Linked DNA regions of Daphnia pulex. The protein of the gene in region 1 purifies or fractionates together with the protein of each later gene. This does not show direct contact. Links are inferred from orthologs where the notes say so. Each region holds a gene or a part of one and is shown in the gene's direction. Other genes may lie near its edges. The genes, in order: DNA polymerase epsilon catalytic subunit A-like and MMS19 nucleotide excision repair protein homolog.

Region 1 (3,289 bases):
GCCAAAGAGAAGCAGCGTTTGTCCGAATACTGCCGCAAAGCATACAAGAAAGTTCGTGTAACGCGCACTGAAGAGAGACAACAAACAGTTTGTCAAAAGGTTCATAACTTTAACGTAGCGTTTCAATACCGATACTTAATAATCAATTGTTTTTGGAGTAGGAAAACAGCTTTTATGTTGACACCGTTCGAGCCTTCCGTGATCGACGATATGAATATAAAAATCTGAATAAGACTGCCAAGAAGCAAATCGCCGAAGCAATTGCGCTTGGGGATGCCGGTGAAATTAAATCGGCTAAAAATCGTGAAGTGCTTTACGATTCCCTACAGCTTGCTCACAAGTGTATTTTGAACTCCTTCTACGGTTACGTCATGCGAAAAGGAGCCCGTTGGCACAGTATGGAGATGGCTGGAATTGTGTGTCACACTGGCGCTGGCATCATCCGGAAAGCTCGAGAGCTAATCGAACAAGTTGGTCGACCGCTTGAACTGGACACAGATGGTATTTGGTGTATGTTACCGTCATCTTTTCCGGAAAACTACGTGATCAAGACCTCAAGTCTCAAGAAACCCAAGATTACGATATCCTATCCAGGTAATGGCTACAATCAAAGACAAAAACATTTCAATTGATTAATATTACGTGTCTTTAGGAGCTGTATTAAATGTGATGGTGAAAGATGCCTTTACAAACAACCAGTATCACGAGTTGGTAGACCCAGAAACTTTGAGCTACGTCCAGCGTGACGAAAACTCGATTTTTTTCGAAGTTGACGGTCCGTATCTAGCGATGATTTTACCTGCGTCGAAAGAAGAAGGCAAAAAGTTAAAGAAACGATACGCCGTTTTCAACTTTGACGGCAGTCTTGCCGAATTAAAAGGATTCGAAGTGAAACGTCGTGGAGAACTTCAGCTCATCAAGATTTTCCAATCGTCTGTGTTTGAAGCGTTTCTCAAAGGTAAGAGAACATTTGCCAAAGAAAAAAATATCTGAAATGTAATGAAATTGTTTTTGTTTTCAGGTGATACTCTGGAAACATGCTACCAGGCTGTGGCTAAAATTGCAGATTACTGGCTTGATGTGTTATATTCAAAAGCCGAAAACCTCCCTGATTCCGAGCTATTTGAGCTGATTACCGAGAATCGATCAATGTCACGAAAATTAGAAGAATATGGTGGTCAAAAATCAACATCCATCAGCACAGCTAAACGTTTGGCAGAATTTTTGGGTGATCAGATGGTAAAAGATGCTGGGTTAAGTTGTCGCTTCATCATTTCAAAGAAACCAGAAGGTATGCTAAGTTGTTACTGGACAACAAATGATGAGAACTTTTTACATTTCCATTGTTTGCAGGTGCCCCTGTTACGGACAGAGCTATTCCGTTGGCAATTTTTCAATCTGAGCCCAGTGTTAAACGCCATTATTTGAAAAAATGGTTAAAAGACAATTCCATGACGGATTTTGACATTCGCACAATTTTAGATTGGAATTATTACATCGAACGTCTTGGAGGTTGTATCCAAAAAATCATTACTATCCCTGCCGCCTTGCAAGGCGTGGCTAACCCTGTACCCAGGGTCCAACATCCGGATTGGCTTCACAAGCGAATGCTAGAAAAAAATGACGTTCTAAAGCAGCGACGGATCAATGAAATTTTTAAGGTGCGAGCGATTTTATTTAAGTCACAAAAATTTTTTTTAAATGAATCGTTGAATTAAGTGTATAATTAGATTAAACCAAAAATGTTTCGCGACAAAGATTTTTTTACCATTATTATAATAATTATTAATTTTTATTTCAGGTGTCTATCAAGCCAGTTGGTGGCGATTCTAACTCGCAAGATTTGGGAGAAGTGGGTGACATAGAAGATTTGGGTGGAAGCAAAAATACCGAAAACAATCGACCTACGGTGACTTCGAAAAGGAAACGAGGCTCCAGCGAGTCAGCTAATGAATTGGATAAGAATTGGCGAGAAATCCTCGGTCCTCCACCACCGATGGGTAAACCTGGAGAAGAGCGTGAAATTTGGATTCGCTATCACAAAAAGAAGTGGGCTATTCAGTTGAAACAGCGAGCAGCCCGTCGAGGTAGAGAACAAAACAGCAACACTGGATCAGCTTCCGTCTCGACTTTTGGAGGAAATTCTGGAGCTGGAGTTTTAAGAACCAATTTGGGTGGATTCTTGCGACGCGCACAACAAACCCTTTTGTCATCCATGTGGCAAATTTTGCAGGTGATGGAAACATCACAGCCGGGCATGTTTCGATTGTGGGCGTTGGTTGGAAACGAACTTCATCAAATTCGGTTAACTGTGCCGCGTATTTTTTATTTGAATAAGAAGAAACCTTTGGAAAAAGAAGCTAGTAGTGAGTCAGCTGTCTGGCGAAAAGTTAATCGGATACTTCCTCGCTCTCACCGTGTCTATAATCTGTACGAATACAGGTAAATAGTAAAATTATAATTCTCACTCAAATAAGTATTAATCTATTTACTCTTTATATGATATTCAGCGTTCCCGAAGAAGTTTACCAGCAAAATTTCAATCAGTTAATGGCTGATCTGTCCACTTCAGACAACGCTGGAATTTATGAAACCCAGGTTTGAAAACGCACTTGTTTGAGTTCCAACGAAAAAACTTTGTTTCATTTTCACGTTTTGTTCCAGGTGCCACTTGATTTTCGTGTGCTAGTCCAGCTCGGATGTGTTTGTGCCGTCGATCGGAGTCAGCGTTACACGCCCACCGGAGATACCGAAAGTTTCAGCCTGTCGCAGTTGTCGTTCAAAACGTTGGCGCACCATCCGTATTTAGAATCGGGAATTGAAACGCTCAAGTATCTATACATCTACCATTACAAAAGTGGAAATAAAGTCATGTTGGTGCTATTTTCTCCACCAGCCAAAAAGGTCAGTATTAAAAAATAATAATAGCGACAGTTTTTTTTGTTTGTTTATCTATCTATTGATTTATTTTTACTTCTTAGGTCAACTTTTTTGTCGTTGACACTGTGCGGACCAACCAAATGCCGAATTTAGTTAATCTTTATAATGAGGAGCGGCTTAAAAAGCTATCGCAGGTATGCTATTCATATATCGTAATTTGTGTTATTATTTTAACTTCCACTTTCACGATTAGGCTGACGTTGTCGAGAGTTCCGTGCCCGCTAGAGATTATTCATTTTCAATTCAAGTGGAGACAGATATTCGCCAAGTCTACCGTCAAATGAATCGTTTACTGCAAACGTACAAAGATGAGAAACGAGGACCAACTTTTGTGGCTATTCAGTCTCCC
Region 2 (4,261 bases), about 7.0 Mb from region 1:
GCGTACAAAGAAACCCAAAATCCAAGTAATAGTAAGGCGAACACTGATGAACTCATAGTGGCGGTTTGTGCGAGTAAGAAGATTCCAAGACTGGGAAGTACAAATTTAATGTTAGATACTGTGAACCAAATTGGTAGGTGAGATTTGAGTACCTTTAGTTCTTCAGCTACAAATCTTCCTGTAACTTCGTCCTCAATGATTGCTTCCACCCCCGCATGAACAAAGTCAAGGCAGTCAGATAGAATAAAATCATTATTCAAACTGTTAAATGATCTGTTTTTGGGGATGGAGGGTGTCTTTGGAGATGAGTTTCCATTAGGTAAAAGTACTAGATCTTCCTTGGACATTGCTGAAGATTTTATAATGGCATGTCCAGTTGATAATTTGTCCTCAGCTTGTTCCACTGCTTCCACAACATTTCCATTTGCATAGCCATTCTTTCCTTTATTGGTCTCTAGTTTCTTTTGCTGCTCAGCAATTTCTATCCTACCAGTTCCATACTAGTATAAAAAAGATTATGAGCATTACGAAAACTCAAATACTAAGAATAAGACATATTACCTGAAAGACCTTCAATAGTAGTTTAACATATCCTGATCGGAAATTCCTTGACCAGTTGCATGTCATCACTAGCACCAAGCAACCAATTACCAGGATAACAGGCATAAAAATTATACTAAGTACTAGCAAAAGAATTAAATTTTCGAGCCCCATTGTAATATTGTTGGTGGGAGCTCCAGTTCAAGAAGTTGCTGTCGTTGTCGAACACCAAGGCAACAGATGTCGGGACCACGTTAAAGGAAGTGGTGGAAGAGAGAGATTTCAAGGTTGACAAGAGAAATGCCGATTTGAGTTGTTGTGCGTGAGTGGAATTCGCGTAACGTAGTCTACTAAAAGACTGCTACGACAGACGTTTTGGGACTCTCGTTTATAATGGGACGTTCAGGCTACAACTGACTTCAAAAATACGTCTGTCTATTGGTTCTATGCGTTGCGCGTGCGACCTTGACGCGATTAATTATCTTTTTCTAGTCCTCCCATGCTTACCAGCACGATTTATCGGAATCACATAAAAGTTTACTTTGGAAGTCTCCACCCATCTGTTTTTTTTCCAATGCGTAATGAAAAATCTAGAAAATACAAAACCTGGGTGATATTTTCCTCCGTTCACGGAAGCTATTTCAAAACATGTTGGAATGCGGTTATTCAATATTTAATTACGAAATTTGTTACAAAAGTCTGTTGCTTGTTTACAATTACATAATCTGTGACAAAATTATATATTCGATGAATAATCAGTTCATGAAAAGAAGAATGTGAGAGGTAGGCAACCATGTGTCATTTAAAAGCAGATGACGTTTACATAATCAGGGCAGAGGTAAACAGTAAACATGGCGATCTCGACTGCGATTCACAAACTCAGAGATTCGTTTAATTCAGAAGAATCCGCGAATGAATCTATTCGCTGTATTAGTCAATGTAAGTTTTTATAATTATAACTGAAAGAAACATTTTTTCGTACTCCGCTCAAGTGTTCGAAATTAGAAAAAAAGAAGGAAAAACACGTGTCCATCATGAGCGCGCCAGATTTAAAACATATGTGTAGAAAATGTTTAATAATTTTAACAAGTTAACATCAATGACTTTGTTTAATTTTTCAGCAATTGCATCAAAAGAATTAACAATTCTCAAGCTAGTTGAAGATTTGCAACCAGATTTACTGAATCAACAAAATACTCACCGATGCAAAGCAGTGTCAACTATTGGCACAATCTTGGAACAGTTGGGGCCTGAATTGAAGGGACTAAATGAAAAGGAAGTAGAACTTGTAACAGAGTTCTTCTGTAGCAAGCTAAAAGATCATCATTCAATACTACCTGCCGCACTGCAAGGCCTCCATGCTTTGGTATGAAAAAAAATACTATTCAATACAAAAGTGTTAAATTTAATACCTTGTCATAGAGCACAGCACCTAAGCTTTCCCCTGGATTGGCCAGATTGATATCCCAGAGCATTTTTCAAGATGTTCATTGTCAATCACAATTGCAGCATGACAGAAGAGCAATTTACAAAACAGTGAAAAACCTCTTGGCTTTTCATCTAAAAGGTCTAAATTATAAATTTCTAAATATATATGCTGTGTTAGTATTTTCTAAATTTTATTTTTAAACTTACAGAATTACAAGACCTAGGCCAAGATTTTGTTTTTGGTCTCATCCAGTTAGCTGATCAAGAAAGAGACCCACGTAACTTGTTGATTCTCTTCAGTGTTTTCCCTGTAGTTGCTCGTTACTTCAGATTCGAGCCGTTTACAGAAGAGTTTTTCGAAGTTTTTAGTTGCTACTTCCCTATCGATTTCACCCCTGTAAGTCTCTTGAAATTTTCAGTTTATTGCTACATGTCAGTAAATCCTAATACTCTTATTTTGAATAGCCAGCTAATGATCCTTATGCAGTAACTAAAGAACAGCTCTGTGATGGATTACGACAGTGCCTTGCCGGTAGCCCTCATTTCGCAGAGTATTGTTTGCCGTTACTGCAAGAGAAATTGGAATCTGACTTGGTTTCAGCTAAAGTAGAAGCCTTAAAAACCTTGGTAATTTTCCCCTTCTATATTTAGTCTTTATGCTTCAATTCTATTGTAATTTTCGACTGTTTGCAGGAACTCTGCTGTCAGACGTATCAACCAGGCCAACTTGAAAAATGGGTGGACTCTTTCTGGACGAGTATACGTAGAGAAGTCTTGATCAATGTCAATACCGACGATCTTGAACATGCCTCACTTGATGCTCTTGCCGCTTTATCCCGAGCTTTTACAACAGACGGAGAATTTAACAGTCCAGCTTTTACCAAATTACTAAAAAATGTGCTGACCGGTAAATGTGTAGCAAATATTCGTTTAAGAGTATATTTAACTGTAGATTGTATATTAATAGAATGTCAGGGGCACTTGTGTGAACCGGAACGGCGATTAATGACTCCGAGCAGCTACATTTTGCTAGCGATATGCTCGGGAAGTGCGCCCGCGTGTGCATTAATTGTTAGCCAGGTATTATTCTTATTCTCTTATAGAACTACAAACATTTTTTTTAAAATCTACTTAACAGAAACCCATTTCTCTAAATAGGTCATTCCCCTTTTGATGGACCAGTACAGGATCAGGCCACAGTCAAATCCACGTCAGTTCATCCTTAATAGTTTGAACAAAATGGTACATGCTGGTCTCTATGGTTTCACTGAAGCAAACGGTACCACATTTTAAAAATTATTAAAATTAGAAACATTTTCATATCTTTGGTTATATTTTACAGTTGCTCAAAGTGGTGTAGCTTCTCTGATACCAAAATTGTTAGAGCTGTACCTTGAGGTCTTACAAGAGGATGACGCAGTTCTTCGCAATCTAAGTCTGCAAGGATTGAGCCATTTAATTGGCACCTGTTTGAACCACCAAGACTTGGAAAAGGTCAATGGAACACTTTTAGATTTACTCCAGAAATCAACAGCCACCGATAGCGTTATTGCAGAGATTGGTCATTTCTTTTGCAAAAGCGCAGAGAAGAATGAAAACTTGTTCCTTGAGCAAGTCTTGGTTAAGCTGTTAGATATAGCCGTCTCAGGTAATTTGAATTTTACCAATTAAAATACGGAAAGAGGTTATCTGTTGGTTGTTTAGGCAAAGCCAATGCGGTTTTTCTTGTGTTATCAACTCTACCGACGTTGTCCCAGATTCGTGCGCAGGTGGTATCCCGACTAATGACCGTGCTCGAACAACCCGAACTGGAATTACGACTTGAAGTACTCAAAGTTTTGACTCATTTCGCACAAAGGGACGAACTAGAAATATTCCAGCAATTGCACCGCTGGGGATTGAAAACATTGGAAGATGGAGATCCTCCGGCGTCACTCCAAGCCACTTGTGTTTTATTGAGAAATCTGGCTTCCAGTTTATCTTCCGCGTAATTCTATTAGATCAAAATGTTGGAAGAAATGTTTTTGTAATCTTCTCGGCATTGTACAGGAAAGCCACGGAATTCATCAACGAACAAACCGAACAATACGTAGGTCAACATCTTGCTCGTTCTCCGTGGACGTTGTCCATAATGGAAGCGACATTGGGATCATTGGATGCCACACCTAGCGGACACAGTCTTGAACGACTAGTTAACACACTAGAACCCATTACTGTTTGTCATCCAAAAGCCGACGTCAGACTGTCTGCCTGTCGGCTAATAGCCGCTCTGGTCAACAAACTTCCTGAAGGT

The links.
Region 2: the proteins of DNA polymerase epsilon catalytic subunit A-like (region 1) and MMS19 nucleotide excision repair protein homolog purify together in Homo sapiens (affinity purification with western blotting; 3 studies listed by BioGRID and IntAct, with this or other methods). This does not show direct contact. The link is inferred for Daphnia pulex from reciprocal best matches to the Homo sapiens genes POLE and MMS19.

The regions. Positions count from the first base shown.
Region 1 is NC_060026.1:11,192,551-11,195,839, reverse strand, and holds part of DNA polymerase epsilon catalytic subunit A-like, read left to right. Parts: coding exon 1-99; intron 100-161; coding exon 162-594; intron 595-652; coding exon 653-958; intron 959-1,021; coding exon 1,022-1,291; intron 1,292-1,353; coding exon 1,354-1,661; intron 1,662-1,801; coding exon 1,802-2,442; intron 2,443-2,510; coding exon 2,511-2,598; intron 2,599-2,664; coding exon 2,665-2,904; intron 2,905-2,981; coding exon 2,982-3,074; intron 3,075-3,133; coding exon 3,134-3,289. UniProt on the Homo sapiens protein: Catalytic component of the DNA polymerase epsilon complex. Participates in chromosomal DNA replication.
Region 2 is NC_060026.1:4,198,359-4,202,619, forward strand, and holds the start of MMS19 nucleotide excision repair protein homolog, read left to right. Parts: upstream 1-1,348; 5' UTR 1,349-1,391; coding exon 1,392-1,479; intron 1,480-1,661; coding exon 1,662-1,906; intron 1,907-1,962; coding exon 1,963-2,107; intron 2,108-2,177; coding exon 2,178-2,365; intron 2,366-2,433; coding exon 2,434-2,595; intron 2,596-2,661; coding exon 2,662-2,875; intron 2,876-2,935; coding exon 2,936-3,048; intron 3,049-3,126; coding exon 3,127-3,247; intron 3,248-3,310; coding exon 3,311-3,616; intron 3,617-3,672; coding exon 3,673-3,955; intron 3,956-4,017; coding exon 4,018-4,259; intron 4,260-4,261. Other genes in the region: glycerol-3-phosphate acyltransferase 3-like, read right to left, coding at 1-90, 153-500, 562-714. UniProt on the Homo sapiens protein: Key component of the cytosolic iron-sulfur protein assembly (CIA) complex, a multiprotein complex that mediates the incorporation of iron-sulfur cluster into apoproteins specifically involved in DNA metabolism and genomic integrity.